Rattus norvegicus: one gene and its partners. The protein of the gene in region 1 purifies or fractionates together with the protein of each later gene. This does not show direct contact. Links are inferred from orthologs where the notes say so. Each region holds a gene or a part of one and is shown in the gene's direction. Other genes may lie near its edges.

Region 1 (5,886 bases):
AAATAGTTTTACCCTAAGCACCTGTCGCATAGAAGATATTACTCTGTGTGAACAGTTGGTTGTTACAGTGGCAACATTTTCAACTTTTTTCCCCGTTTTTTTAGGTCTTTAAGAAATAGAAATGGCATCCAAAAGAGCTCTGGTCATCCTAGCCAAAGGAGCAGAGGAGATGGAGACAGTGATTCCTGTGGACATCATGCGGCGAGCTGGGGTGAGTTCCCCTCATGGGCAAGCCCTCCCTGTCTTAAAAGGAGGGGACTCTTAAGTCATTTTTACTTGTTGTTGATGTATGTGAGCCCGCATCGTATGGTGCAGATGTGGAGGTCAGGGGCTGTGTGTTGTCTCACGGGCTAGCCTGGGCTCCTCATCCTGTGTTTATATAACACGGCAAGCTTTCAGTGCACTCATGTTTGCCAGGCTTACCTTGTGTAAGCGTTTCCTTACCGCAAGGATGTTAGCTCTCTGCCTCTTCTCACAAACCCCAGGCAGAGACAACTCAGCCGCGCTGGTTTCCAGTTAGAGCAGGGCTCAGCCCCAGGCAGCCTGTTCATTTCTTTATAGCAAAGGGCCTGACACCATGGGAAAGCCACTGCCCCTCTCCTCCAACGACAGCCTTACGAAAGTGGAGGAAATGCGTCAAGGCTTCCGTTTATCCTTTGTGTGCATATGAATGTTTGCCCGCATGGCTGTGCACCACATAAGTGCCCAGGACCGGAAAGAGGCCAGAAAAGGATACCCGATTCTAGGGTTGTGGGTGGTTGTGAGCCGCCATGTCGGCGCTGAGAACCAAACCCTGATGCTCTCAACCACTGGGCCACCTCTGCACCCTCTTAGTAAATGTTCTCTTGTGGGGTTCATTTGCGCAAATGTGAGGATGGCTGTTCAGGCTCTGCACCTGAAGGTGGCGCTGCTGGGCCAAGACTGTGTAGTCATCGTCACTGGGTTTTGACAAGTTGTCTCCAATGTCCCCTACTAAATGTTTTGCAGGATAAAGTGTTGTTTAGTTGTTTGGTGTGCACTTCTGCTCTGGGAAAAGCATGTGAGGTTTGACTGATAACAAGGGTGACCCTCGCATGGTGGGTTATTAGGATGGCCCGGTAACTCATTTCCCAGACCCAACACTTGAGGAATAGAGGGTGTTCTAGCCAGGCCATTCCGGGTAAACCAGAAGAGACCAGGAATTTGCCATTGCCTGGGCTTGGTCCTGTCCTCCCTAACGAGTTACTTACAAACCACAGAATGGGTGTTAGAGTTGCTGCCCCGCACTGTGCGTGCTTTCCTGTTCTTGAATACCTGTTCTGTCTCTAGATTAAAGTCACCGTTGCAGGCTTGGCTGGGAAGGACCCCGTGCAGTGTAGCCGTGATGTAGTGATTTGTCCGGATACCAGTCTGGAAGAAGCAAAAACACAGGTTTGTTTTGTCCACGTGGACTCTTCCTGCTTGGAGCTCATTAGTTCTTTGAAACAGCGTTTGGCCCTGTCTGTGACAGCAGTTAGAACAGACTTCCTTTAGGAGAAGGACTTGGCCTGGGTGGAGGCTCTGGAACCCTTAGTCAGTAGGTGGGTGGGGTGGGCAGCGTGTGGCTTAGTGGGAGAACACTTGCCTAGGAAGGCTATGTGTTCCATTTCCAGCACCACAAAGACTAAGTGGATGGCACGTACTACAGTGTATACTATTATGATAGCACTCGCGCTCGCTCTCTCTCTCTCTGTTTGTACTTTTTAATTTCACCATGTTTAAAATTAATTAGGTTTTTTTTTTTTGGTGTTCGAATGTTTAAGATATTAGGATACTGTGATTTTTCTCTTCCCAAAGTTTCATAATGCTAACTTTTTTCTTTGCCTTTTAATATTTGGGTTTTTATTTTTAGCTATTAAAAGTACACTGCCTGTATTTTCTATTGAAAAAGTCACATGGTAGAGACGTTTATATATAAAGTTTATATATAAACATATATAAAGCACCCCTCTTATCTCAGGCTGGTCCCTGTCCACTGCTGGGTGTATTTCGTCTGCGAGCATCTGTGGTGTTGATGAATATCTGTTTGTTTTGGTGCACATGAGTGTGGTGGCTCCCTAAGGCCCTGTGGTTGGCGCTGTTTCCTCTCTACCCTGGTACATTTACACTACACATGCTCCCTGGGCTTCCTTCCGTACATTTTCCATCACAGATTTTTCTGCATTTTAAAACACACACACACACACACACACACACACACACACACACACACACATATATATATATATATATATATAGAGAGAGAGAGAGAGAGAGAACGAGCGAGCACGCACAGCACACACCCCAGAGAACAGGTAGGGTGTTGGGTCCTGTGCAGCTGGAGTTAGAGGCAGTTGGGCCCCGTGTCAGTGCATTTTTTTGTTTGTTTACAGTGGTTTTTTTTGTTCCACAAAAGGTGCACACCTTTACCACCTTTATTTGTTTCATTTTGGATGGTTTGTTATTGTTGTTTTGAGACAGGGTCTTGGTATCTGGCTGGCCTCAAAGTTAGTAAGTAGCTGAGGGTAGCCTTGAACCCTTGACCTTCCTGCTTCTACCTCCTTCTATGGGTGTGCACTACTATGCCTGGCACTTACTTTTTTTTGGTGTTAGAGTCAAACCCAGGCCCTCAAGCATGGTAAGAATGTGCTCTACCACAGAGATTCATATAACTCCACCCCCAGACCCCACCCCTCACACCCCGCAGGCATACATGCTGTTCTTTGGCAGATACTGGGCTGCCATTTAATACAGTAAAACTGAAGTGTTCCCTTTTGTTTCCCGACTCACAGGGACCATACGATGTGGTTGTTCTTCCAGGAGGAAATCTGGGTGCACAGAACTTATCTGAGGTAAAAACTGCACTGTCACAAAAAAAAAAAAAAAAGCTTGTGGAGAAACTCACAGCTTCTGCCTTGTCGCCTTGGTATGCTTCAGGATGTGCTGTAGGCACAGGAGAAGCAGCAGAGGTTAGCTCTGAGTCCAGCCTGCCCACACAGTTCTGAGAACAGCGCTGCAGATCTCTGCTGCACACAGGCTTGGCGAGTGTGGACTGGCGCAAGGCTGCAAGCTTCCCAGCTGCTGCAGCAGCAGAGTGGGTTAAGCCTAGAAGGTGCTGCCTGCTCTGTCATCGGGGTTGAGGACAGCTGCAGGACCACAGACAGGATGACATGAGAGGCAGCCATTGCTCTTTGTTTCGAGCTCTATGTGAAGAGTCATGCAGGAGAGGCAGGAGCAGGGAGTGGGCTGTACCTCCTGGGGGTCTTTTCCCTCTGCCATCTGAAGCTGCTGAACCCTGTGTCCCCTCACTTCTGCCTCTTCTGGAGCACAGGACAGGGTTATGTGTCTTAGTGACTTTGCTTTGTCTTTCCAGTCTTTATTGGGCCTTTCTCTTGGAGTGAATGCCATTGACCAGGCTTGAGAACACAGACACACTGGGAAGCTGGTTAGAGCGCTTTCTGGGAAACGGCTAGAAGTGAGTTAGGCTGGGAGTGACAGTCTCAGTGGTGACTGGCGTTTGGGTTCTCTCTCTAGTCGGCTTTGGTGAAGGAGATCCTCAAGGAGCAGGAGAACAGGAAGGGCCTCATAGCTGCCATCTGTGCGGGTGAGTAAGTGCGGGTGTGGGGCATGCAGCGGCTGAGGCACTGGCCAGTCTCTCAGGGCTTGACTGCACACAGCTTGCCTTCATGAAGCCAAAAGGCGCCCACACTGGCTGTTTGGTTTGGGTGGCATGAACTCCTGTCTCGGCAGCACTGAGCCCAATTGTTGAGCGTTCTGTCTCTGTGCCCTGGGTCGCTGTCTGTGAAGTTCGGTGTTTTCCCTGTTTGGTTGACCTCAGGGAAAATAAGGCTTCTGGAATCCAGCAGACAGCTTGTTCCAGCACATCTCTGTGCCAGCAGTTAGGCCTGCCAGGAGAGTCAGCAAGAATTTGACCGGCACAAACGCCACACATCTCCCCGGGCTCGCCTGCCTCTAGGGCATGACTGAGCCTTGGCTTGAGTGCTCTTGAACACTCCTGCTTCAGATGAGGGCTTTCGTCCATGTCCTGAGCCTTGAAACTCTGATCGTTTGCTTCCTGGCCCACTTAAAATCCATGCTGTTGCTTTAACATCAGGCGATGTTCTGGCATCTGGCGTCTTCCTCATCCGATGCCTGAAGTGGTCACAGAACAAATGGACAGTGACTGAAGGGATGGATGGTTTCTTTGGGGATCAAGGGACTCTATCCTAGCTCTGGTGCCCTGGTTTCCCCCCAAGGGACAAAGCAGGTGATGCAGGGACCTCTGTGGCTATTTGTGTCTTGTTGAGATGACGGCACCTGTCGAAGCCATCTTTCAGGCTAGGCACTATGCTATACTCTGCTGTTTTAAAACTTTCCCTGGGGCTGGAGAGTTGGCTCTGCAGTTAAGAGCGCTGGCTGCTCTTGCAGTTCAGTTCCCAGCAACCACATGGCTGCTCACAACTGTCAGTAACTCCACTTCCAGGGAATCTGACATCCCCACACCAATGCATATAAAATAAAATTAAATAAAAATTTAAAAAAATTTCCCCATTTGGACCGGCTAGGAGACCAAGCTATAACCGCAGTGCCGTGGTGGTAGAAGCAGGAGTACTGTGAGTTTAAGACCACCCTAGGCCACATAGGAGAGCCTCTCTCCACAGAAGAAAAGAAAGAAGGGAAAACGTGAGGATAAGTTGTAAGTCCCCAGTGCAGGCCCTAGCATGGCTGAGTTGTATGTGCCTAGCGTGTGGGAAGTCCTGGCTCTGTTCCCAGCACCAAAAACACACATGGGAAGCCAGTCTTACTCCCAGAAGTGGCAGGTTGTGGGCATCGGGATCCAGGGATTGCTGCTTGAGTGCACAGTAGAGAGCCAGTGGGAGCCCCTGCACATCAGCTCCCCTGACAGGGCCCCGGCCTGAGCTCTCACAGCCACAGCTCAGGGGTTTCTGTTGGTTGATGGTTGCTATCCGTAACCGTCCTGTCCTGACTGGACGGGAAGTCTTTCGCTGTGTCTGGGTGACCAGCCTCCCTACGGTTTGCCTGGGTTTGTTCCTTAGACTTGGCTGAAAGTAAACAGCAGTGTCATCGTCTTCCGTGTCATGGACTAGAATGTCGGCAGCTGAAGCTGGCTTGCTCGCTTGCTTGTGCTCAGTCAGGCCTGAGGGCCAGCCCTTCCTCCAAACCTAGTCAGTGTTAAAAAAAGAAACTAGCAGTCCTATGTCACCGTCTCAGAAGGATAAACAGAAAAACCGGGGCGACTCGGGCAGAGGACGGAGCTCTGTGATGAAGCCTGTCTTCATCAGCAGGAGGTCTCAGTTGTTCGCCTCACCCTTGGTGCTGCTGAGTCCAGAAGAAAGTCATTGCAGGGAGGCTTTCCTGAGGATGAGTCAGGGAGAGAGAGGGAAGTTTGCAGGGGAAGGGGCCCTGGGAGTCAGAAGCTTGGGGTGTAAGGGTTCACCTGGAACCCAAGGAGTTCTAGTTGGCTGGGTGTCCTTCAGGCGTCCACCAGGCGGCGCTGTAGGAAGAGGCGGGGAGGGGGGGCCCTGTCTGCTGCCAGTTCCCAGAGCTAACTTGGCATGGTCTTCATCAGAGGCTCAGGTGATGGCAGTGGTGATCAGGCCATTAACTCCCCCCCCACCCCCCACCCCCAAAAAAAGAAACAAACAGTGGTTAGTTGCTTTCCATGACGGGACGGCAGCCATGCTTACCTTACCAGATGTGCTCACATAGGCTCATTGCAGATGCTCTGTGTAAGCCATGGTATTTAGAGTGGTGGCTATTCACGCTCTAGGTGTTTGATTTAGAAGAATACTTTTCCTGCTAAGCGGTTTTGGTTTGTTTTTTCTCTCTTTTTCTGGAGCAGGGCCCTCTATGTGGTCTTCATTGGCC
Region 2 (5,886 bases), on another chromosome or scaffold:
GTGAATAGCTCTGATGTGGTGTGATTCCTCTCCTCAGGGACCTTGGCAGGCTTTTCAGGAAAGCTTGAAGAAAAACACGTGTTATTTGCTTAGGTAGGAGAATAGAGGACAATATGAACTCAAAAACCTAACAGTCTGAAATTTTATACAAAAGCAAAAAAAATTGTAGTGTAATGAAAGGCGAACATGACATCCAGGTGGGAGACGCCAGCGTTTGTGGAAATAGGGTGCAGAGGTTCAGGCGCAGACAGCTTCTTTTATTTATTTGGTTAATGTAGAATTATTTTAAAAGTATAATCTTTTGTCTTTCACTTCTTGCATGGTACTATGGAGTCAATGGAAACAGCATTACTTTTATTTCGTGTTTCTATAATGTGTACATGGGACTAGAAAAGAAGGAGTGACTTAGCAATAGAACGTACTTCTCGGATGGGATGGAAAATTTTTGATCTAAGTAATTCTCTGCTTATAAGTCCCACCTGAAATACTCATAGCATCATCTCTGAATTTAACTTGCTTAAAGACATGTTAAACAACCATATTCCTTTTACGAAATTAAAATAAAAGTATACTCAGCAAATCTCTTCATTTTCACCTTAATAAAGCTCTAGATACTGTGTTATCACTAATGTGACTGAAATTCTGTCTTAATATTTTTGTTTGTCTGGAGAGATGGCTCAGTGCTGAAGAGCACTGGCTACTTCCAGAGGATCAGAATTTTGTCCTCAGCACCCATGCTGGGAGATTTTCACCCTCCTGCAACTTCAACCCCAGGGGATGTGACACCACCACCTAGCATCCCTGTGTACTTGCATAACTGTGCACATACTTCACCCTGCCAGAAAATATATATAATTAAAATTAAATATTTTTAAAAGATGCACCCTTTTTCTCTACCATGTTCCTTTGTTATCTCCAAAATCTATGAAGAGCACATATGTACCCATAGGTCCTTTGTATGAAAGGCGGTTTAAGGAAAGACTTGTTTGAGATTTCAGCTGTTAGGTTTGGGAATATATGCACCGCTGTGAGCCATGTTGGCAATGAAATGCAAGTCTAAATGTGAAATGCATTTATATTTCAAATTCCTTGTACATATTGTCTGAGGGCAATTTCATGCTCTAAATGACCCCGAAGGATTCATGTGTTTGAATGCTCGGCCATAGAGAGTGGCATCATTTAGGAGGTGTCGCTTTGTTGCGGATGTGTTGTGAAGAAAGTGTGTCACTGTGGAGGTGGACTTTGAGGGCATATGTGCCCACTCTGTGCCCAGTGTGGCACACGGTCACTTCTGCAGCCTGCAGATAAAGATGTAGAACTCTCAGCTCTGTTCTCCGGCACCTTGCCTACATGCATGCTGCCATGACAATAATGGCCTAAGCCTCTGAAACTGTAAGTCAGCCCTAATGACGTGTTTTCCTTTAGGAGCATTTCTATGGTCATGGTGTCTTTTCATAGCAATAGAAACCTTAACCATTTTAGAATAATTCTCAAAATGTAATAAAATTCATGCTATGAAGTTTCTGCTAGTATCACATTGGTGCTGCTCAAAAGTGAAGAATTTAGGAACATTTTGGATTTTGGACTTTCAAAGTATTGACGCTAGATATGTTTGAAGTGTATACTTAGAAGGGATAATGGAAGTGACCCTGGGAAGTGAGGTCCCAGAGCTGAAACCATGCAGAGGTGCTCAGACTCACCACTTGACACTGTTGGATGCAATGTTTTCTGTCCTCTCACTTCAACGCAAACCAGATCCAGTTCACTTGTTGTTATGGATTATAATTAACTTCTGAATATTTTCTAATTTGTGCACTAAACTCATGTTTAGTGTTTGGCTGAAACATGTCACTTCTACCTTGCTGTCCTGTTTCTTCAGACTCCTGTTACCTATGGTACATGTGCCTATAGAAGTCGACAGCTGCTGGAAGTGGAATTGGTCAGGTCTCTGTGACACCACCATCTTTTAATCTGTTGTCACTCTTGATTTTCTTAAGTGGCTGAGAAGACCAAAGAACAAGTGACAAATGTTGGAGGGGCAGTGGTGACTGGTGTGACAGCAGTCGCTCAGAAGACAGTGGAGGGAGCTGGGAACATTGCTGCTGCCACTGGTTTTGTCAAGAAGGACCAGATGGGCAAGGTATGGCTGCCTGTTTTATGCTACAGTGATAACCCTGGACACCATGGTCCTTGCATGCCTAAGAAAGCATGCATACGATATGAGGAAGGGCTGACTTTAAAAGGCTCTTATTTCGATGCACTGTTTTCCTTGGGAAAGGTCATGCACACTGTACAATAACCCCGATTGTTATAGTTTCTGGAGGAAAGCTACAGAACTGAACACTGTAGTAATCCCTAAGAAATCAGTGACATTTCAGAAAGAATGGCTGCTTTCATGGGAATGGTGGGTCTGGAATTCCTCTTTATGGCAATAGAAAATGTTTTCATGAGTAATTTCTAAATTTCCAGGACGAAGATCTTTTATCTGATTTCTTTGTAATGACTTAATCTCTTATGAAATGACATATTTGCATATCACATAACTACTCAGTACCAAACATGATTTTGCAAACTGGGCTACTTAAAGTGCATACCAAACACAGACCATGGCTTCATATGGTGATTCTTACATTATCAGAATTTTAAATCTGCTTCTGGATGAATATAGGATGGTAGTGACATATTCTAGGTATTCGAAAAGATGTTTCACAACCCTCATGATCTTACAGTAGGATAAGTTTTGCATTTTTATGTCACATGTCCTTTTACATTTTTTGAGGGACTCCAGCTTCCCCTGGCCGGGCTTCTCCCCGTGCTCTTCCCCCAAAGCATGCACTTTGCTCTCAGTTCCTCTTCTCCTGGGTCTTTGTTAAATGATACCTTCCTTGAAATGCCTGACTTATTTAAAGTTGGAACCATTCTTACCCATGAAAACCCTAATCTTTCTACTCTTATTTCTTCTTGTTCGATAAAGTGTCATTGTATTTCAAATAAATTAATAATTTACTTATTTTGAATATGTTGTTTAGATTTCCTTGTCTAGGTAGGCACTATCATAATGTAAATATTTATTTTGTTTGTTGATACTTCATGTGCCTAGGCAAGTTACTAACTACAAATTCAGCGCTTACTAAGTGCTTATTAAGGATAGAAAGAAGGAGAAATGACAATTTTCTGAGTATTAATAATCATATAGATGCTATTAAAACCTTTGGGTATTGACTGATTCAAAAGTTGTAATCAAATGGCTTCTGAAGAGGACATCATAAAACCCAAAAGAAAGACACTTTCATCTGTGGGCAGACTATCTCAGTCTCTCTTTCTTTATCTCAGTCATCCTAGGTGGCAAGATAAACTTCATGGATAAAGGACTGGGAAATCCATAATGTGCTTTCCACAGACAGTTCCATTGTTAGAGCAATTAAGTGCAATCCCAGATAATCTAGGGAGTGCTCAGAGAAGTGCGTTGCTAATGTGAACACAGGACTAATGAAGTCAGCTTTGTTTGAGTGTAATATGCTATTGTAGTAATCTTGCTTGTGGTAATAATTATATTAATGCCTATTTTCCATCTGAAATTGTAATAATATGTTTATCTTTACCATATTTCAAAATTTAAGAGACATCAGTTTAATATTGAGGAGTCTAGAATGGAATTGTAGATTCATTGACAATCTAATGAAAAAAAGGGAACCACTTGTCTGAAAAATATATGAACACACACATGCACCAAAGCACCAAAGGAAGGCCATCAACAGACCCTCAATTTAAAACCAACTCCTGATTGTACAATGAAGAATATGGGATTTGTAGAAGGGAGGTGAGTGTCAGGTGAGTTACCTGATGACCCTTGCACACATCTATCTGCGGTATCACTTGCCTAGCTATGACAGCAAGACATACCTTCCTTTGTCTATAGACTGGGTTGAGCAATAGTAGAGTTAGTGGAAAAACTTACTGCTTCCGAATGTATACAGGCCAGGACGTATGCCTCACTCCATTTCCCACGTTGCCTGCATTCAGAATACACATTAAAAGTCACAGATGGTTTATTAAAAACAGTTCACATTTTGTCAACTCGGACTCGTTTTCTACCTTTTAAAATACCACTCCTTAGCTTAGTATTCTAAAGTAGAAATCTAACAATGTTACAAAATGAAACATTTGCACATATCTCTCCTAAGGGAATTAGCTGTAGGTTCCTAAAATTTTCTAATATAAAAATGAAGCCATAAACAGAAATTGCAGTAAAAAAAATTGGGATGAAACCCAGCGGGTATGTGCTTAAATGGTTGATCTTTGTAGCACAGGGGCCATTTGGTAGCGATGAAAGCTTGTGTTATGTGCCCAAGCCCCTTTCTTATGCAGTGAGGGAGCTCCCAGTGCTGCTACTTTATCAGAAAGCTGATAAAGCCCAGTCCAGCACTGAAGCTCTGAATAGGTCTCATCACTCATGGAATACTCACATAAAAGCCAGTGAGTATGGCTGTATTTCTTGATGCTTATACATATCTAGAGTTTAAATAGAATTGAATTTGTTTCTAATGAAATTTGAGATATTTTATTTCATCTTTCAGATTCTAGTTAAAATTATCTCGATGAAAAGAAACAAGCACATATTCCTTTACTTTTTTCTTTATCTTTATTAAATTGGGTATTTCTTATTTACATTTCAAATGTTATTCCCTTTCCAGGTTTCCAGGTCAACATCCGCCTAACTCCTCCCCCTTCCCTTCTCTATGGGTGTTCCCCTCCCCATCCTCCCCCCACTACCGCCCTCCCCTAACAATCATATTCATTGGGGTCCAGCCTTGGCAGGACCAAGGGCTTCCCCTTCCACTGGTGCTCTTACTAGGCTATTCATTGCTACCTATGAGGTTGGAGCCCAGGGTCAGTCCATGTATTCCTTTACTTTTTTAACTGATTGTCAGTGACCCCGTTTGGCCCATTTGTAAGAAACTTGGAGAAGAGGGTTTGGATCAGTAGTGCTCATACACAGCTGTCTAATAGAAGGAATTAGCCACACTTTATTTTTTGGTTGTTGGAGTCTCAAGGATCAGGAACATTGGGGAAATCTAGAGTGACCTTGGATATACCCAACATGCTTTCTGAGGGTATTTGTCCTATTGCTTCCTCGATGATAAGGGAACAGGCACACTTTCTTCTTTCCTTCCTTTCTTCATATTTGTGCCTTCTTGTTCGGAACTAATCAGTAACAGTTCATTCTCGGTCCTATTATTTTGTAATTTCATCTCTGATTTGCGGTGCCTAAGGTAATATTTGTCCCCAACTTTAATAAGGTACAATTATTAAACTGTAGAAAATTGTATTTATCTTCTAACACATGTTAACAGCACAGTGTTATGTCAAGTACTCATACAACCCAAAGTTCTTGTAGTAATCAAGATATTTAACATAATCAATGCCTTAAATGACTTTTTCTCTTATTGTGCTAACAGTCAGGTATTATTAACTGCAAGAACTGTGTCACATGTTAAGTTTCATGGGTATTCCCTTCCTCCCCTCTCCTTATCCTTGATAACTTATTACCTGCATCTTGCTTTTTCTTCCCAGTCCCCAGCTTTTGGTAGCCACCATGCTAACCTGTTTCTATGGATTGGATGTTATTTTAGAATACGTTCTACAGAGAAGAGAGATCACAAAGTATGTACATTTGTGTATCTGGTTTATTTTGCATTATATAATGTCCTCAAGGTTTATCTATGCTGTGGCAAATGTAATTATTTCTCTATCTGTAAACACATTTTGAGGACTGAATAATATTGCATTTGTACACATCTTTTACTATAATTACTCTTTTTTGTAAAGTTTTTATTGGATATTTTATATATTTACATTTCAAATGTTACCCCTTTTCCCCATTCC
Region 3 (6,348 bases), on another chromosome or scaffold:
CGCTCACTGCCACTGCAGGATGAGCTGGCCTTTGCTGAGGACCTGGTCCTGGATGAAGAGGGGGCACGGGCTGCTGGTCTGGGGGATCTGGGGGCAGCCCTGCTGCAGCTGGTTCGGCGGCTGCAAGCCCTACGGCTGGAGCGGGAGGAGTACGTCCTGCTGAAAGCTCTGGCCCTTGCCAACTCTGGTGAGTATTCAGGGGAAACACACACAGGTCTCCCCATAAGGTCCTCCAGCTGTCGATGGTGGTGGTATGTTCCTTTTTTGTGGATAAAAGACAGCTAAGGCTTAATTATTGAAAATAACCAAGTAAGCCAAGGCCCTGAATTATACATGGGATTCTGAGCCTTTGGGGGGCTGACAAAGCAATGGTGAGAGGGGAAGTGGGGAGGTTGAGAGGTGGCCACAGGTGAGAAAGGGTGGGCCCTGGCTCACAGGCCAAGCAGTGAGTGCATTGCCCCACCCTGTGGTGTCCAAACAGATGAGTCCTGCCCCTTAGTCTCTCAGCCAGTGGTTCTCTCCCCCCAGACTCCGTGCACATTGAAGATGCTGAGGCTGTGGAGCAGCTGCGCGAAGCCCTGCACGAGGCCCTGCTGGAGTATGAAGCTGGCCGGGCTGGCCCTGGAGGGGGTGCTGAGCGGAGGCGCGCAGGCAGGCTGCTGCTTACGCTGCCACTCCTCCGCCAGACAGCAGGCAAAGTCCTGGCCCATTTCTATGGGGTGAAGCTGGAGGGCAAAGTGCCCATGCACAAGCTGTTTTTGGAAATGCTTGAGGCCATGATGGACTGAGGCAAGGGGTGGGACAGGGTGGGGTGGCTGGCAGGATCTGCCTGGCATAGGGTGTTAGCCCCAAGGGGGCAAAGCTGGAGTCTGGGCAGTGCCACAGCCTGCTGGCAGGGCCAGGGCAATGCCATCCGCCCCTGGGAGCAGGCTTCATGCCCTCCCCTCCCCCCTTTGGGGGGGATTGTCAGAAGCCAGGAAAGTGAATGCCCAGGTGTGGGCACAGTGCTGCCCCTTGCAAGCCATAACGTGCCCCCTCCCAGAGTGTCGGGGGCCTTGCGGAAGCCATAGGGGGCTGTAGGGGATGTGTAGGAGGCAAAAACTGATCTCAGGGAGGGAAGGGGATGGAGACCACAGTCTCCCAGTGGGTGATGCTTTTGCTGCTGCTTACTCCGACCTCCTCTCCAGAGCAGAGGGGGGCTTGGAAAGCAAAGGCCCTGCCCCTTCGCTCCTCTCCTCATTGCATTGGGCATTAGTGCCCCCCCTTGAAGCAATAACTCCAAGCAGGCTCCAGCCCCTGGACCCCTGGGGTGGCCAGGGCCCCCTATCAGCTCCCACCTCAAGGGATGGGGGACAGCACTGCCTCTACGCCCTGCAGAGCAATAACACTATATTTATTTTTGGGTTTGGCCAGGGAGGCGCAGGGCCATGGGGCAAGCCAGGGCCCAGAGCCCTTGGCTGTACAGAGACTCTATTTTAATGTATATTTGCTGCAAAGAGAAACCGCTTTTGGTTTTGAACCTTTAATGAGAAAAAAAATATACTATGGAGCTCAAGTACACGGTGGTTGGTGAATCATTGGGGGAATTTGGGGGGTCACGCACGACACATCTAGTTAACAGACCATACAACAGATAACACACACAGTCACGAAACACCAAAGATGTGGCTAACAAGGTTACGTCTCGGTTTCCTCATCATTCAACAGCATATTGGGGATCCCGCGGCTGATGGGGAAAAGACGACCAGATTCTGGGCATTGCAGGGTGCCCTCCAGCACATCAACCTGCGGGGGAGCAGAGCAAAGCTAAGCACAGGAAACCTCAGGGGCAGTGGGGGGAGCTAGGCAGGTGATGAACAAGGATTCTCACCTCAAGCAACACATGGTGCATCTTCCTCAAAAACGTCTCATCGTGCTCATAGCCTTCAGTCGGCTCTTTGGGTACCTCGGCCAAGTTTAACTGTGAAAAGGAGGTTTACTTGGTCAGTGGGCACACAGACACCGAACCCACCCCGGCAGGGAAGAGCCCTGCCCCCGAGGGGTGACAAAAAGGGCGGGGTTCTCACGGTGTCCGCTGCCTGCACAAGCGCCGCCCACTCCACTTTGGGGATCATCCGCGCCACGAAGTCGGGGTTGAACTCCACAGGGTTGATGCGGACCTCGGTGGCCTGCGGGGAGAAAGGTTTGGCGAGGTAGGTCCGGGCCCCGAAGTCTTTACCCTGAACTATAAGGGGCGACAAACCTTGTGCAGTTACCTGCAGGCGCAGCGGGAAGCCACGCGTGCCCACGCCCCGCACATGCGAGCTGAGGAGATTGTGGGTGAGCAGTTTCATGTTGTCGCACCGGAGCTCCGGAGGCCGGAACCGGAAGGAGTCCACACTTCTCTTTTGCGCCACTTCCGCTGCTGAAGCAGTTGGCTACTTCCCCGGACCGGAAGTGGTGCACTTAGGGGAAATTTTGGGGCTTTGCGGCAACAGAGATGGGAAGAACTGTGTTGGGTCAAGTTTTGATACCGGAAGCGTTTCTCGGGAAGATTGCAAACCCCGCTCTCCGTAAATGGTACATATTATGCAAATCACATGTGTCGCGGCGCTCTGGTTGAATGTAAAACAAGCACATTTGAGGCTTAGCCAGATTACCCCCCGATCTCTGTTTGCAGTTAAGGGTCAGAAACGGTCACATCGGTAAGCCAGGAACTTCTTTCTGTATACAAATAAGGCGTGCGACCTCTGGAAGATCCGTCGCGTCACAACGCGTCACGGCCCAGCCCTATAAGCGGGCGTAGTGTGTGCGGCGTGCTGGTGTGGGCGGAGCGGTCTTTGTACCCACCTCCTGTGGGCAGAGTCATCTGCGGGTGGGCTGCGGCGGCGGGGCGGGCATGGTCCAGCTGAGGTTTTGCGTCCTAGGCAGCATAGCCGGATCGGTGCTCCGTGCATCGGCTACTTGGACGTGCGTGGCAGGCAGAGCAGGCCGGAAAGGAGCAGGTTGGGAGTGTGGTGGGGCCCGCAGCTTCAGCAGTGCCGCGGTGACTATGGCCCCGATCAAGGTGACCGGTTTTACCTTTCCTGGGTCCAACCTGTCGCGTCTCTTTGGGTTCCACACGGGGTCTCGGATCTGTCCTCCTCGACATTTCTTCTTGTCATGCTTTCTGTAAGACCTTGTCGTTGCCTTTCCGTCCTAGGACATTTCTTGAGCCGCCCTCTCAAACCTACTATGCCACTGCCAGGGATCATTTTCAAGCGACCGAATGCTGTGTCATTTCCCACATTTTTGAAATATCTCTTTTGCCGCTTGGTCGCTTTTCAAACCCTTTATACACTTCACCAAAGCCCCAGCCCTTTCCGTGTTGTACTAGACTTCGCCTCATCTTTTGCAAGAGCTGTGTGGTTCCTTGGAGACCGGGGTCTGTCTTTCCCACTTCTGTCTCCACTTTGTGAATGCTTCCCCGCCCCACTTCTGTTTGGTCTTTCTGGGAATTCTTGAACGTATCCCCTCTCCTGTTCTTGGACTTCAATTTTAGAGAAAGAGAGAGGAAGGAAGGAAGGGAGGGAGGGAGGGAAGAAGGAGAGAGAGAGAGAGAGAGAGAGAGAGAGAGAGAGAGAGAGAGATTGATTGATTGATTGATTCACTATATAGTCTTGGCTGGCCTGGAACTTGGAGTGAGACTGGTCCCAAACTTCTAGAGATTAGTCTGCCTCTGCATCCCCAATGTTAGGATTGAAGGCCCTTAAAAATAACAAAACAACTTTTAAATACCTACTTGTTTATGTGTGTGTGTTTGGTAACAGGCATGTGACTCTGGAGGTCAGAGGACAGTTTCCTCAGGAGTCAGTCTTTCTCGTATGTGGATTGTGGGGAAAGAACTCAGGTGATGAGGCTTGGTGGTGGGCAACTTTACCTACTCACTTCATCCTTTTCCTTTCTTCTGTGGCTCCAGGAAGCCTGGTGGGCTGACTCTGAGAGCCCACGTCCTGAACAGTTTTTGGCTTAGGCATCTTCCCTGGTTTTCCAACATGCTTCTCCTGGTGTGTGGGTGGGATTTTTCTCCTTCCCTGTTACTAGGTGCTTTCTCAACCCTAGACACAGTCCTCTGCATTCCTCCTCTGTGCCTTGATCCATCTTGGGTGGCTTTGTTTTCACAGCATTGCAACACTTGAGAAGGCCTCTCCCTTTCTCTGTTGCCACCAACTGGCCTTAAGCAGAAAAAGGCTTTGAAACATGTAGGATGTGGGGCTGGCAGGAGATATGGAAGATTGAGAGAGCAAGGACAGAAATGAACCCCTGGGACCAGATAGGCACTTTCTGTGCTGGGTATAAACACTGGCTCCATGAAGGTCTGTCTGTAGGGCTGTGGTCTATTTGGCCTCTCTTTACTCGGTCTTACCCTGGTGTCCTTTTCTCTAGGTGGGAGACACCATTCCCTCAGTGGAGGTATTTGAAGGGGAACCTGGAAAGAAGGTGAACTTGGCAGAGCTGTTCAAGGACAAGAAAGGTGTTTTGTTTGGAGTCCCTGGGGCATTTACACCTGGCTGTTCCAAGGTGAGATTTCTCCTTCTCCAGAATCAGAAACTGGAACCGGGAGCGTGGGAGAAAAGAACCCCGATAAATCTGATAGCTTTGATTATAGCTGCTGGTGGAAGCACTGTGAAAATCACTTGGGAGACCGGCTAATGAGGCAAAAACTTTGCCTATGGGATTTCATGGTCTTGACCAGAGATACTTAGGTCCAAGCTTCCTGGTAGCCAAGGCAAAAAGGAAGTGGTCTGTTTCATACTGGCTTCCTTACCCTGATCAGGGATGTTAGGAAATAGGAGGAGGAGCAGGCTGAGCAAAACCAGCAATTGTCTCTCTTTTGACTCTTTGTTTTCCTCTTAGACCCATCTGCCTGGGTTTGTGGAGCAAGCCGGAGCTCTGAAGGCCAAGGGAGCACAAGTGGTGGCCTGTCTGAGTGTTAATGATGTCTTCGTGACTGCAGAGTGGGGTCGAGCCCACCAGGCAGAAGGCAAGGTGAGGTGTGGGGCCTGTGAGGGGTCGGGGCCAGGTAGAAGGTTTCCTTGTTTTTTATTACACTTTATTTACTCATTTTGTATGTGGGGTGGGCACTTGTACCATTATGCACAAGTGGAAGTCGGAGGAGAGCCTGTGAGACTTGATTCTCTCTTACCATGTAGGGTCATGGGGATTGAACTCAGGTTTCCACACTTGCCAGCAGGCACCTTCACTTATAGAGCCCTCTCACTGGGGATTTCCCTGTGACATTTATTCTCTTTCCTTCAGGTTCAGCTCCTGGCTGACCCCACTGGAGCTTTTGGAAAGGTAAGCGTACCACCCTTCCTTCAGCCTGCAGTTGGTCCTGCAGGGACATGTTATGTGGGAGCAGCCCCTGGCCTGTTTGGGGGTTCCTGACACCCATTTCTGCCGGTCCCCTAGGAGACAGATTTACTACTAGATGATTCTTTGGTGTCTCTCTTTGGGAATCGTCGGCTAAAAAGGTAAAGTGGAAGTCCCCCCTCCCCCCACTGGTGTTGGCACTAGGGGCCCTGGCTGCTGCCTGGGCTTCTGCAGTTGTACCTCTTTCCGGCAGGTTCTCCATGGTGATAGACAAGGGCGTAGTAAAGGCACTGAACGTGGAGCCGGATGGCACAGGCCTCACCTGCAGCCTGGCCCCCAACATCCTCTCACAACTCTGAGGCCCTGACCAGAATGTCCTCTGACTCTCCCATCTCCTCCACCCAGCTCTGGGCCAAAGGCCCAGTACCTCCTTACCTGAGGGCCACTGGAATGGAACCTTGACAATATTTCTGCAATAAACAGTTTAATTTGTGTCTTTGCCTCTGGCATGGAATCGTCTGCTTCGCCCTTACTCACCGGTAGCCATAGATAGAGCTGAAGTCAGTGGCAGAGGTTTGGAGGAGAAAATGGAGGGACAGCCGGGATAGGTTTCCAGAAGGTAGCATCCTCTAAGCTAGCCTGAAGCTGAGAGGAAGCCGGAATTGGTTTTGCTTGGTACATCATGGGACAGCTGGCGCTTGGCCTAGGAGCTGGCAGACTCCATTGACTTTTTTTAAAAAGATTTATTTATTATACATAAGTACACTGTAGTTGTCTTCAGACACACCAGAAGAGGGCATCAGATCCCATTACAGATGGCTGTGAGCCACCATGTGGTTGCTGGGATTTGAACTCAGGACCTCTGGAAGAGCAGTCAGTGCTCTTAACCGCTGAGCCATCTCTCCAGCCCCCTCCATTGACTTAATACACAGGGCTGGAAGCTTTGCATTTTGTGAACTGCCATTCCTCCAGAAGCACCCTGGCTCTGGCTTGGCTTCATCAGAGCACACAGTACCA
Region 4 (6,447 bases), about 650 kb from region 1:
GATTCTACCAGGTTGCTGGGATTCCAGGTACATGCCACTATCCCCGAGTTATTCTGTGGGTTGTGTGTGTGCTACCGAGGTTCACTACCAACTGAGCTACATGGCCTAGGTCCTCCTTCCACAAAGAGGTATTTCATTTTCTCAGTTGACTAGAGGTTTCACAGGTGGGTCACAGGACACATGCTGGTCTCCTTTTCAGTCTAGTGTCCAGCTGCGGGCAAGGCCTTAAAGTCTAACATTCCGAAGTCTCGGTAATTCATTTCCTCTCCCCGTGCCTTTGGTCTGCCACTGCCATGCAATTGCCCAGCAAGCTACTGTCTGTGAGAAATGACAACAGAATGTCTGTAATAAGGGAAATAACCCTGTGCTGACTGCAGGCGACTCTGAGCAGGGCCTGCAACAGAGCCTGGAAAGCCACGGAGACACAGGGCATGTGGCAGGGCAAGGCTTGTGGAAAGATTCCCACTACAGCTTGAGGTTGAAATGTTGGCTCAGGATTTCCCTGTGTGGATACCCTCAGAAAGCTCGCAGCGGCAGCAGCTGCCTAGCGAATGTTCCGTTTTAGATTCTTGCCTGATTCACTGGGTCTAGCAGACAGCTGTTTTAATCTATCTTTATCTCCCCAGCCATTTTACTGTAAAGTGAAGAGGTTGTCAGGAGACCTCTCAGTGCCGAGGTCTTAGATTCACACAGAAGAGTTCAGAGTGTCCGATTTCTCCCGGTTCTTATAAAACTTGGGAGAAGGTTTTTGATTTATTTGCTGAGTCATGGGACTAGAGACATTCGATGTACGCAGCCACCACACATCAGTGTATTGCTGGTGAAGTCACAAATCATTTTACAATTTCCTTGATGGTCCTCGTTAAATTTAATCCCAAAGATCTTGCTTCTTTAACAATGGAAACTTGTTGCGTGTACTAACACCTTGGACTCAATAACCCTTCAGTTTTACCCAGTGCCTTAGAAACCTCAGTCAGGAGCTGCCTGGAGCAGAAAGCTAAGGGTTATTAAGCAGCTTCCTGTAGCTGACTAGAAGATATAAAAACCAGTCAAGAACACATTTCAATCTCTTCCTGAAAGACAGATAATACAGAAAAGATAGAAACATAGGACATTAACTCCCAGACTACAGCCTAAGAGAAATGTGGAGAAAACACAACAGAAAGAGATGTGTTCCCTTCAGTGAAGTGTGTGCTTTGCAGAAATTGAGAGCCAATTTTTGTAGTGTTTGAGACAAGATCAGCCCTCTTAGTAGCTAAAGCTTGTCTCAATCTGATGGCTACTTTCTTTCTTTTTTAATTAGTCTTACATTTTGAGGTTGGGGATGGAGGTCAGAGGACAGCTTGTTAGAATGAATGAATCCTAGGAATCAAACTCAGGTTACTACTAGGTGTGACTGTTGGTATCTTTGACCCTGAGCCATCTCAAGGGTTCTAAGACACGGTTTTTGTTTTTTGTTTTGTTTTGTTTAAAAAAATTTTTTTTGTTGGTTGTTTGTTGAGACAGGGTTTCTCTTTCTTTCTTTTTCTTTTTCTTTTTTTTTTTTTTTTTGAGACAAGGTCTCATTGCTTTGTCCTATCTAACTTAGAATTCACTATGTAGACCTGGCAGGCCTTGAACTCAGAGATCTGCCAGACTCTGCCTCCCGACAGCTGTGGTTAAACACCACCTTTATTTTCTTTATCAGAAAAGTAAAATGGCTCCACCCACCCCTTCCGGACATTTGTCACATCACTTTGTAGTATCAGTCTAAAGCTTTGAGAAATGCCTCGGGACTACATCAAACCCCAAACTCTAATCACGATTATGGATCTGAAGAGTCCGGGGAGGTTTCATCTAGACCACTGATGGGGGAAAGGTATTATTAAATCTTTCAAGAAGGGGACAGTAACAGAGATAGAGAATGAATCCACACTGAGCTAGCACATCGCAGAAAACAGGGAAAGTTCTAGAGTAGGGTGGAGTGGCTGGGTGGGTGTAGCACAAAGGTACTGCCTTTACTTAGCATGAGTTGGACGGTAGGATTCGGTATCCTCCACACAATAACAAATGAGTAGGTAATATTAAGGGAAAGTTTACTTTCCTTTGGGTAACTCGGCCTGAGACTCATTACAGAAAGGACAAAAGGACGGGGTCACCTTGGCAGATGGCACCAGAGAGCCAGGACCAGACTTGGTGGAGGCGGGGGGCGCCCAGTGCGCAGGCGCAGTAGCACATGCCCCCCCCTCCGTCAATTCCACGCGGGAGTGAGGCCCCTAGGCCGCGCATCAACGTTTCCACACCGCCGGGGGCTCCAGCACCTCCCGGCGGGGGGGGAGGCCCACAGGAAGGCCCAGCCCTAAAGGTCATCAGCAAGGTCGTGGGCCGGACGTGAGGCGCTGCAGCCCGGCCGAGTGCGTGTAGGACTCGGAGTACGTGCCGCGGGCTCAAGCCCTCATGCCTGCCGTGCAGCCCCGCCCCGCCCGGCATCCGGGCTCTGTAGACCCTCAGCTAGGCCCCAGGTTCCCAGCCGGAGGCTCGCCCGGCATTCCGCCTATGCCTCAGGCAGGCGAGGCCAGCCAGGAAGGACAACCCCCGCCCCCGTGCCCTTGCCCCTAGACCGGGCAGGCCAAGCGGCCGCCTTGGTCACGCTCTTCTCGTGGAGTGACGGCAGGCAGAGCCAATGGAGTGGCGGCACGGAGGGTGGGCGGACTCGAAAGGGGAGAAGTGGGTGGGGCCTAACGAGCAGGCTAGGAAGTCGGAGTGGGAGGCGCTTAGTGCTGCTCCGGTACCGAGTCGCGCTCACGTTTGTCCTTAAGACTCCCTTCGGTGTCTCCAGGACCCTCTTTCCTTCCTCCGCAGCGATCCTACTGCCAGGTATGGTCCGTGTTCCCCTTGGGCACAGCTCGCCTAGGAACTCCTCTTGGTGACCCGGTGAGCTCGGTCACCCCCTACTCTGGGCGCGAGCCGCTACCCTGGGAGCACTCGGGTCAGCCTCGTGGAAGGACGCAGGCTCTTGGAGGGTGGAGGTGCAGGCCCTCGCAGTCACCACCGAGCTTCAGGGTTGGAATGTAACCGGGTACCCAAGCGGACAACAGTAAATGCAGGCCACGGATAATCGCGGCCGTGGAGAATAAAAAAGTACTTGTTTCTATGTAGCTAAGTGGAAGGTTTTTGAGGGAGAGAGCGACTTAACCCCCGCCCCGGTGTTCATTAAATTTTTTCTCAAAATGGAAGGGCGATAAATAAGGATGCCCAAGAGGCAGAGCGCCCCACCCTAGTAGATCCTGCTGGGGCTGTGTCTCCTGAACCGCAATCGAGCGTCACTGGGCGGGAGTGGTCCAACCCATCTCTGCTCTGGAATATTACTGACCAGTGAGTGTCGGTTAGGTACTTGTAGTAGAGGAAATTGCAGCAGTCCCGTTGAATAAGTGGGAAGCAAGCCCTCAGGAGACCTCGACCGAGTTAGGCAAGAGCTGCGGGCTTACTGGGTGGCTACTAGTCGTAAGAAAACTTCCTGTCCTTTCTTGCCTAGACAATGTGGTCCCTTAGCTGACTTGCTTTCGGGGTAGGCCAGAGCCAGTCTGAGGTGATAAGCCTGACTGACCTCTAGATCCACTTTCCTGCCCTTAGTCCGGCGTTCAATCCCGATAGAGCGAGTGGGTGAGGTTTTCTTTGATTAGAGACCTTTGCTGCCTAGCTTAAAGATCCAAGCTAGATGCAAATGGTGGAAGGGGGGACCAACTCCTACAGGTTATAAAGCCTCTGCAGAGCGCCGCGGTGGCACGTGGCTCCCGCGCCCCCATAAAGGAACCAGGCCTGGTGATGCACACTTGAAAATCTAGCGCTTAGGGATGCTGAAGATGGGGATAACCGAGTTCGGGTCAGCTTGGCCTACATAGGAAGTGCAGGTGTGAGATTTTATAACAGTGGATAAAAAGTGGGTACTTTATTCCTGGTTAGTGAATAAAGGTCCTTTGTCTTAGAGAAGACAAGCACAGAAGTAACTTATATTGAAACAAAAAGTATGCCTTTGCTTCCTTGACCTCACCAGAAAAGGTGTAGGGAACCTATTTAGATAACAGCTTCCGAATGCTAATTGTCTTAATGTCTCATCCAATTTAGTTCTAGAAGCCGTTTGGTAGATTCCTTTCTTGGAAAGCCTGCTGGGGAAGAAGTAAGAAAGGGACCTTCTTTTTAGACTTGCTGTTTGTTGCTCAATATCCTCTTTCTCTGGGGTGTTTTCTAATTAGACATCTACTTTGGGTACCTTTTAAAGGCGAGACAAGGTCTCCCTTTGAAATAGAAGTCAACTCTTGCCTAAATATGGCGGCCATTGAACCCAGGACCGCCCACGTGTTAGGCATCTAGCCTGCATGTGCCACCGGGCTAGAGAATGGCAGTACTGATGACCACCAGCCAAGGAGTTTGGGATTCTGCCTTCCTCTCACAATTTCTTACTGGTTATCAAATCTGTGTCTGCTGAATGTTCTGCCCTTGCCATGGGTACAACTTGATGAATTGGGGTTTCTGTTTCCACAATCACCCTGCTTCACAATGTTGCATTTCCCTCCGGTCTACAGGTCTGTTTAATCGCTGACCTGCCTTCTCTGTTACTTCCCACTTCGCTGCGCAGCCAGAACATAGTTCTGTCCAGTTTGTATTTACCTAATTGCCCACAGAACACTTAGCTTCAGAGGGCTATAAGTGACTTCTGTACGTAGCCCACTTGTTCTCTGTCCAGGTCCAGGATCTTGGGGGTGATCTCTTGGGATAAATAAACCTTCTATATTAGAGTTTATGGGTAATATATGAACTATTTTCCCCCTACAGAACTTCACCATGTCCATTCTCAAGATCCATGCCAGAGAGATCTTTGACTCCCGCGGGAATCCCACCGTTGAGGTGGATCTCTACACCGCAAAAGGTACACGAACCCACATTATTTCCTGGTCTCTTGCACCACAGTTTATTGATAATGTGATGGGGAAGCAAGGCAGAGTCTGATCTACTCTGATCCCTCTGAGCCTTCCACCCACTGAGCCATCTGCCACCATGTCTGGCTTTGCTTCTTGGTATTTAAGACAGGATGTGGGTTGGGTAGGTCACCGGGGCAGGGAAGTAAGGGAGGGCTTAAGCCCTGGCTCCTGAAGAAGCCTGGCCTCCTGATCGGATCAGCCAATGGAGGGGGAAGCCTTCTCTCCCCACATGAAAGGAAGGAGACAGCCCGGAAGCTCTGCTTTTTCCTCTAGGCCAAGCTACCCATGGTGAGGAACTCGTGTGTTATAAGGGAGTGGGGATATAGTTTGGCAGAGCATTTGCTTAATATGTGGGAAGTCCTAAATTTAAATCACAGCATTGCAAGGAGAGATTGGCTGGGTGTGGCAGCGACTACCATAAATCTCAGCACTTGGGCCTGCTCAGGAGGGAGGATTGCCAGTTTTGAGACTAGCCTGGGCTACATAGCAAGGCCCTGTTTCTACTACTCAGAGACAAAACAAAAAAAAAGCCCACCCCTGCTGATTCCAGCATCTAGATGTAGAGATGCATGTAGTGGGTGCCATAGGAAAGAGGCCTGGGGAAGATGTAGCAACGTCTTACAGAGCTCACAAGCTCACCAGTCTGGGCTGAGTCATTGTGTGACTCAGAATTCAAGCACCAGAGCCCAGCCCTACCTACCCGTTGTCCCAGGAAATGAGGGATCCTCAAATCACCAGCATGTGCCTGCTTGTTGGCCGCCATTGTCTTTGCCAGGGGTTCTCAGCTGTGTTCTGGCAATGTTTCCTGGTGAATACCAGGAATGCTAGGTAGCATCAGGTGTCAGATAGCAGGGTTTGGCTCCACCTGCTGGTGACATCGTGCATGACAAGGTGTCTGATAGCAGGAGATGGCTCCACCTGCTGGTGCAGCTTTACCCCTAAATTGACTTTTTTTTTCTTTTCTTTTTTTTTTCTGGGGCTGGGGACCAAACCAGGACCTGGCACTTCCTAGGCAAGCGCTCTACCACTGAGCCAAATCCCCAACCCCCTAAATTGACATTTAAACAGTCAAACAAGACGGGTGTCTTAACTGTAGCTCTTTAGAATCTTTATGCTTTCGCCTGCCAATGAAAAGCGCTTTTTACGATAATTAGTTTATCTTGCCATAAGATTTCCTGTGTATGTAGCCTACACTGAAGTCAAGTCCTCAGTCTTAGGTGCTGAGATTGGAACTGTGGACCAAGATATTTGGGGAGGTGATTCAGTTAGGAAAATGCCTGCTGTGCAGACATGAGGCTCAGCGTCCAACCCCCAGGACCCACATAAGAACCCAGGCCTGGGGATTATGTGTCACCCTAGTCCGTGTACCCAGCTTTTGCACTGTGAATCTATGTGTCTGTGGCCACTGACAAGCCTTGCCTCACCTAGGCCAGGACCATCTGGATATGCAGGAAGTCAGGGTGGGCACAGACAGTGCTACCTTGCATGT
Region 5 (6,416 bases), on another chromosome or scaffold:
ATTTCCCCCACCAAGCAGTAGTAGACACTCTACTGAGCACAATTTAGGTTTTTACTACGTATCTCAGCTAACACTTTGGCATTGGGGATTCTGTGTAAAACAGATCTCCATCTTAGATTAGGCTGTGTGAGTAAAATTTATTTACATCTTTAGAAACCAAATAGAGCCCTCTCATCTATTGCTTTGAGATGGCTCTCATTGGTCATCCCTGCAATCCCTCCCTCAACTGAACAGAACCTTGCCCTCAAACAGCCTGCAATAAACATCCAGGCTTTCTTAGTTGGGGCAGCTAATCCTGCAGAGAGCTCTTTAAAGGATGCATCTAAATGCAAGGTTTGCGTAGCTTCAGAGAGCTCTAATAGAACTGTAAATATCCCTGGTTTAATTAGCAGTCCTGCAGTTAGGTAATGGCCCACAGCTCTCTGAGCCTGGCCTCTTGAGGTTTCTAGGCTTCAGGGGCTGCCTGCAACTATGCCGTGGACATAACGAAATTTTCTTTCTCTTATACTTCATAAACCCTCAGCTGGCCTTTCCTAGACACCTACTCGCAATTATTGCAATACTCATGATAACTGATTATTATTCTCCAAATTTCTAAAATGACCCAGGGCTTCAGCTTGGGTCTCAGGTCAGAAATACTTTAGAACTCAAATTGCCACCCCGAGAACTAAGTCTCCTGGGAAAAGAACAATAAGGAAGAAATCCCTACCTACATCGGAGTTGATGTCATTTTTTCTCCAAGCTCAAGGTGATCGCTTGCTTTGTGGCTGGCTGGTGGGGGAGGAGGGGCTGTGCGCTAGTTATCAGCATTTCTGAACCAGCTCTCTCAACCGCGACAGGTCAGCCAATCCCGGCAGTAAGCTTTTACTTGACAGGTTCGTTCTGGGCTGACAGCCATTGACTAGGTGCTCAGATAAGTCACTTGGCTGAGTCTACGGTAGGTGGGGCGCGCTCACCAGTTCAGGGGCAGTGACTGGAAGTTTGTTGCAACATCGGTAAGCCCAAGCAGCCAGCAGCAACAGGAGATACCCTTTTGCCCCACGAGTACAGATCTAGAAAGGGTTCACCTCATTAAGCGGAGATGCGTCAAACCCCCTAGGGCCCTGCCTTTTCTCCCACGGTTGGGAACGCGCGGTGTGGGCAGATCCAGAGCAGAAGTCTCGTGTCCCGGCCTTCTGGCTAGCTCTATGGGTTACAAGCGAAAGGGAGGAACAGCTTGGGGACTCTCAGCGTCAGCGTTCACAAACCGGCGGCGGCCAGCAGAGAGGGGTGGCGGGGGCACGTGCTTGGATGTGGCTGCTTGTGTAACCAGCTCCCCAGGCGCTTGGCCCCGACAGCGCTCCTGCGGACCGCTCGTGGGTGCTATTCTCCGCTCTGACTCCGAAGAGAGGGGTTCAGCTGCCTACACGGGGCATGGGGTCCCGGAAGATCATCTAATAGAGAAGAGGGGACCAAGCTCCTGCCTCAGGAGCACACAGATAGGGGAATGGGAATTTGGAAAGTTCCCCAACTAGGACCACACGTGACCTCCTCCTGAAAGTAGTTCCGACTGCGGCTCATGTATCCTTCCACCTAGCCTTTGAGCCCTCCCAGGCCTGCTCGCCCCGCCCACTCGCTGGCTGCAGCTTCCGACCGTCCCATACTCCACACCCGGGCTCAGTAACCGGGTCCTCGAACGTGCACCGTCCGACAGGGTCAGAACTTGGCCACCGCGATCCAATTCTGCCGGGTTTTCTTAGCGGCCACGAAGGGGGAGGGGCGGCTTATCTCCTAGAAGATGGAGCCTGACTGTGATCCGGTGGACCTACCGCTGCGGGGAGCTGCGGGGCTCTTCGCCGGGAGGTGGAGGGGTGTGTGTGAGGTGCACTCTATTCACGGAGATCCACTTTGTCTACCCAGGGGTGTCCTTTGGGCCCTGGAAACTCAGGGGCAGATGTCAATGTACACGCCCCGTATGCACAATCATCATGCTTGGCTGGGAGCGTTCATCTTTCGGGCAAATGAACCCAGCTGCCTGGGAAGCAAGAGGCGGGGCAGGGAACCGGAGCCCGATGAGGTGACCCACGCGGGAGACACAATAGGGGGTTGTTCTTTGTGCAAAGACTGACACCTTGAGGACACCGTGGGGGTGAGGTGCGCTGTCTAGGTAAAGACTTGCCGCCGACAAATCCTAGGAAGCACTGCAATCTGACCACAGCGCAGGGCAGGGCGTGCAAGCCGCTCGAAAGAAACACAGGGACCTACGCAGGAAGGGTGAACCTGGCCCTGAGGTTCCTAGGGTGCTGACCAACGCGGTCAGCTAGTCCGATCCACCTGTGAGCGGTCAGCGATCCTGCTCCGCGCACCCTCGCTCGGCCACAACCTGCCCTACCCTTTGCCGGGTCTCTGCGCTGAGGCCGAAGCCGGCGTAGCTCCAGGAGCGAGCCGCGGCCACACTGGGCATGCTCCGCGGCGCTCCCCGCCCCTGTCCCACCGACGCCCCGCCCCTCCCCGCCCCGCCCCTCCCCCGGCTCGGCGCCCGCCTCTCGCCTCCCTCCGGCTTCGGAGGCGCCCGGCTCTCCCGGCTGGGTGGCGGAGGGGGCGGGCTGGCCGGCGCACGGTGATGTGGCGGGACTCTTTGTGCACTGCGGCAGGATATGCGCTTGGGCGTCGGGACGCGGCTGCGCTCAGCTCTCTCCTCTCGGAAGCTGCAGCCATGATGGAAGTTTGAGAGTTGAGCCGCTGTGAGGCCAGGCCCGGCGCAGGCGAGGGAGATGAGAGACGGCGGCGGCCGCGGCCCAGAGCCCCTCTCAGCGCCTGTGAGCAGCCGCGGGGGCAGCGCCCTCGGGGAGCCGGCCGGGCGGCGGCGGCGGCAGCGGCGGCGGGCCTCGCCTCCTCGTCGTCTGTTCTAACCGGGCAGCCTCTGAGCAGCTTCGGAAAGAGACGGTGGAAGCCGTGGGCTCGGGCGGGAGCCGGCGCAGGCTCGGCGGCTGCACCTCCCGCTCCTGGAGCGGGGGGGAGAAGCGGCGGCGGCGGCCGCGGCTCCGGGGAGGGGGTCGGAGTCGCCTGTCACCATTGCCAGGGCTGGGAACGCCGGAGAGTTGCTCTCTCCCCTTCTCCTGCCTCCAACACGGCGGCGGCGGCGGCGGCACGTCCAGGGACCCGGGCCGGTGTTAAGCCTCCCGTCCGCCGCCGCCGCACCCCCCCTGGCCCGGGCTCCGGAGGCCGCCGGAGGAGGCAGCCGCTGCGAGGATTATCCGTCTTCTCCCCATTCCGCTGCTTCGGCTGCCAGGCCTCTGGCTGCTGAGGAGAAGCAGGCCCAGTCGCTGCAACCATCCAGCAGCCGCCGCAGCAGCCATTACCCGGCTGCGGTCCAGGGCCAAGCGGCAGCAGAGCGAGGGGCATCAGCGACCGCCAAGTCCAGAGCCATTTCCATCCTGCAGAAGAAGCCTCGCCACCAGCAGCTTCTGCCATCTCTCTCCTCCTTTTTCTTCAGCCACAGGCTCCCAGACATGACAGCCATCATCAAAGAGATCGTTAGCAGAAACAAAAGGAGATATCAAGAGGATGGATTCGACTTAGACTTGACCTGTATCCATTTCTGCGGCTGTTCCTCTTTGCTTTTCTGTCACTCTGATAACGTGGGAGTAGACGGATGCGAAAATTTTCTGTAGTTGGGGTGACTATAACGTTTAATACTGGTCGCGTTTCTAGATCGTGTATTTTCTGTCTCTTCCAGTGTATTCAACCTAGGGAGTGTTCGGCTAGACGGAACTCATGCCTGCTTGCAAGTGTCAAGGCACGGATTGGTTTCTTGTCGAGCTCTGTGGTTTGTTCTTAAAATCTATTGTCCGTTAATGCAGAGTACTGTACACTGGATTAGTCGGCTCGTCAATCGAGCCTTCTAAATGAACTAAAAAAAATAGACGCTGTGGTGTCGTGCATATTTCGATTAGATCGTGACTTAGGCCCTAGATCTAGGGTATAGATCAGATTAAAATGAAAGTCCGTGCAGCACGTAGGCATATTGCCTCAGAATCTTGCAGTGATTTTTTTTTTTTTTTTAGTTTCCTGGGTTGCATTGGAAGATTTTTCTAAAATGTGACTTGTGGACTGATTTGCATAACTTTATAAGCATGGTCATCTTCAGCCTAGACCGTGCACATTTGAGGGTAGAAGTAGGTTTGTGTGTTTAAACTGAGGTAATTACAACTTTGGAGCTGCATTTAGAAGTTTTGTAGTTTGAAATCAATAGTATTATTGGAGCTTTTAATAGAACTTTTTTAAATTAGACTTTCCTGATGGGGCGTGGGATAGGATATGAAATTTGCATTTCAGTAGTATGTTCATTCACTTGGCCTTGCCATACATGATAGAATGGAGATGGAGTAGTTTTTGATCCCAGATGATGGTGTCTGTGGGAGTTTAGGGATGCTGTGTCTGTATGGCAAATGACTGCAGAGGTTAAACTCAGCTCTCACGTGAGATTTAAGGAGTAGCATGAATTTGCTGCTTTTTTTTTTTTTTTTTTTTTGGTTTCAGGTGCTCTGACCCGTTGACTTATCTGTGTGTTTTACCCTGTTTTGTGTAGAACATCAAATATAATTTAGCCAGCTAATAGCCAGACATACTGGCAAGAATGGATCACCATCTCCAGACTGTAGGTATGCTAGCTCTCTGCATACAGTAATTTACTGAGTCAGCTTGTTGAATAAGAGAAACCCAAGAATTTTAACGGCGTAGAGTCGTGATCGTCTAAAAGTTAGGTCTTTGTACTTCAAAAGTTCGTGGTTTAAAGCATTTACCGTTGCAGTTTCAGGTATGGCAGGGGTAGGAAAGAGAGGCCTCCTCTTTTGCAGAGTGGGAAGTATTGACAGAAATTGAGAGGTTTTGGGAGGCCAGTGTGTCAGGTGTGTGAAAACACAAGTTGCAGGTCTGAAGAAACAGCCTTTAAATGATTGGGCCTTTTGTTACAACCCAAAATTTTGTTATGTGACAAGCATTGAAGTGAACAGTAAGTATTTAGTTAAAATTATGTAATTGCGTAATCAGTAATAAGATATTCTTTGCAAAAGGTATTTCTTAGTTACTATTAGTAGATATTTTCATAAGATAGAAGGACAGCAGCAACTTGTCTATACATGTCCGGCTAATAGCATTATGGGACACTTTATTTATTGAAGAAAAATTTTCACTTGGAAGAGGTTTGATGGATTGCGTTAATGGTGTAAAAAGCATAGCTAATTTTGATGGAGTTTTTGTTCTGAAATGAAGATGAAGCTCACTGAAGAGCTGGCTTCACAGAGGCTAATTTTCTTTCAAGCTAAAAATACAGTTTGAGAGGAATCTTTAATTTTTGAGTTTGCATTAATTGAGAAAGCTTCACTCAGGGTGAACTTGACCCTTCTAAAAGATAATTGGAGAAAATTCCAAGTTGTCACTTGCTTCAAGGCAGTTTACTGTTGGTACAAATTAATGATAGTAATCTTCATCTAGAAGGAATAGTCAGGTACCTATTTAATTAAAAAAAAAACCCACATTCAAAGAAAGATCTAGAATGCCTGATAGACTTCTCGAAGCTTCCAAAGTACACTTCTGCTTTGCTTTGCCCTTCCCATAGGACTTCAAGATTATTTTGTAAATTTTTTTTTAGTATGAGAGTGACGTGATTGCAGTTCCTTATTTGATTTCATAGTGCATGGGCTTCTGCATGTGCAATTTATGTGGCTTAGAAATCCAGACCTGTACTTTTAGTTATGGTATGCATAGAAAGCAGTATCAAATATTGCATCAAATGACTAATAACACTTAATTTCTAGAGCTGTGGTTTGATTGAGCCCAATGTTGATGTGAAAACGAGTCAGTAGGGGAAAAGTCAGTGCTCTTCCGAGAGGGGTGCTCATATTAGTTTTGATAAGCCAGAGGGCTTGCTTCCTCATTAGGGTTTTCTGTGTTTGGGGGCAGGGATTAAAATGATCATTGAAGATTCGTGCTGGTCAGTGTTGGCAATGAGGTTGGCCAAGTTAAATTCCATTATGAAAGTAATAACTTGGCTACTTTTATTTGCTGAAGGCAAAATTGAATTACTGTAAGAATTTGTTTGGTTGGATATTATTCTTAACAGTATGGAATGTGAGAAAGCAAGAGTTAATGTCTAAAGGACATGGAAGGTTCAGACTTCTGGTACAGCCTTTTTTGTTTGGTAGATATACTTTTCAAACACTTAGCACAGGAATATTAGTACCTCATAGCGAGAATAGTGATTATTATTAACATTAGCTGTTTTGTTAAAGGCAAGTGATTGTTGCAAGTAATTATGGTTTCCTTTTTAAAAGACTCTACAATCTTTATCTTGCCTTTTTCATAGACATTTGTGTTTCTTTCCTGAAAAACATGACTAGTATAATTTGCAAATATCAGTGGGTCAAAAGGAGTAA

Evidence for each region.
Region 2: the proteins of Park7 (region 1) and Snca purify together in Homo sapiens (affinity purification with western blotting; 3 studies listed by BioGRID and IntAct, with this or other methods). This does not show direct contact. The link is inferred for Rattus norvegicus from reciprocal best matches to the Homo sapiens genes PARK7 and SNCA.
Region 3: the proteins of Park7 (region 1) and Prdx5 fractionate together in Homo sapiens (co-fractionation; 3 studies listed by BioGRID). This does not show direct contact. The link is inferred for Rattus norvegicus from reciprocal best matches to the Homo sapiens genes PARK7 and PRDX5.
Region 4: the proteins of Park7 (region 1) and Eno1 fractionate together in Homo sapiens (co-fractionation; 3 studies listed by BioGRID). This does not show direct contact. The link is inferred for Rattus norvegicus from reciprocal best matches to the Homo sapiens genes PARK7 and ENO1.
Region 5: the proteins of Park7 (region 1) and Pten purify together in Homo sapiens (affinity purification with western blotting; 4 studies listed by BioGRID, with this or other methods). This does not show direct contact. The link is inferred for Rattus norvegicus from reciprocal best matches to the Homo sapiens genes PARK7 and PTEN.

What each region holds. Positions count from the first base shown.
Region 1 is NC_086023.1:166,647,980-166,653,865, reverse strand, and holds part of Park7 (Parkinson disease protein 7 homolog), read left to right. Parts: intron 1-104; 5' UTR 105-121; coding exon 122-211; intron 212-1,308; coding exon 1,309-1,410; intron 1,411-2,789; coding exon 2,790-2,849; intron 2,850-3,531; coding exon 3,532-3,601; intron 3,602-5,886. UniProt on the Homo sapiens protein: Multifunctional protein with controversial molecular function which plays an important role in cell protection against oxidative stress and cell death acting as oxidative stress sensor and redox-sensitive chaperone and protease.
Region 2 is NC_086022.1:91,104,844-91,110,729, reverse strand, and holds part of Snca (alpha-synuclein), read left to right. Parts: intron 1-1,997; coding exon 1,998-2,140; intron 2,141-5,886. UniProt on the Homo sapiens protein: Neuronal protein that plays several roles in synaptic activity such as regulation of synaptic vesicle trafficking and subsequent neurotransmitter release.
Region 3 is NC_086019.1:213,528,519-213,534,866, reverse strand, and holds Prdx5 (peroxiredoxin-5, mitochondrial), read left to right. Parts: upstream 1-2,748; 5' UTR 2,749-2,878; coding exon 2,879-3,046; intron 3,047-4,404; coding exon 4,405-4,539; intron 4,540-4,875; coding exon 4,876-5,256; 3' UTR 5,257-5,277; coding exon of another isoform or gene 5,278-5,316; 3' UTR 5,317-5,430; coding exon of another isoform or gene 5,431-5,492; 3' UTR 5,493-5,584; coding exon of another isoform or gene 5,585-5,690; 3' UTR 5,691-5,825; downstream 5,826-6,348. Other genes in the region: Esrra (steroid hormone receptor ERR1), read left to right, coding at 1-187, 529-788; Trmt112 (multifunctional methyltransferase subunit TRM112-like protein), read right to left, coding at 1,678-1,785, 1,871-1,960, 2,067-2,168, 2,256-2,333. UniProt on the Homo sapiens protein: Thiol-specific peroxidase that catalyzes the reduction of hydrogen peroxide and organic hydroperoxides to water and alcohols, respectively.
Region 4 is NC_086023.1:166,000,617-166,007,063, forward strand, and holds the start of Eno1 (alpha-enolase), read left to right. Parts: upstream 1-2,744; 5' UTR 2,745-2,856; intron 2,857-4,104; exon of another isoform or gene 4,105-4,156; intron 4,157-4,812; 5' UTR 4,813-4,821; coding exon 4,822-4,906; intron 4,907-6,447. UniProt on the Homo sapiens protein: Glycolytic enzyme the catalyzes the conversion of 2-phosphoglycerate to phosphoenolpyruvate. In addition to glycolysis, involved in various processes such as growth control, hypoxia tolerance and allergic responses.
Region 5 is NC_086019.1:240,041,076-240,047,491, forward strand, and holds the start of Pten (phosphatidylinositol 3,4,5-trisphosphate 3-phosphatase and dual-specificity protein phosphatase PTEN), read left to right. Parts: upstream 1-2,631; 5' UTR 2,632-3,491; coding exon 3,492-3,570; intron 3,571-6,416. UniProt on the Homo sapiens protein: Dual-specificity protein phosphatase, dephosphorylating tyrosine-, serine- and threonine-phosphorylated proteins.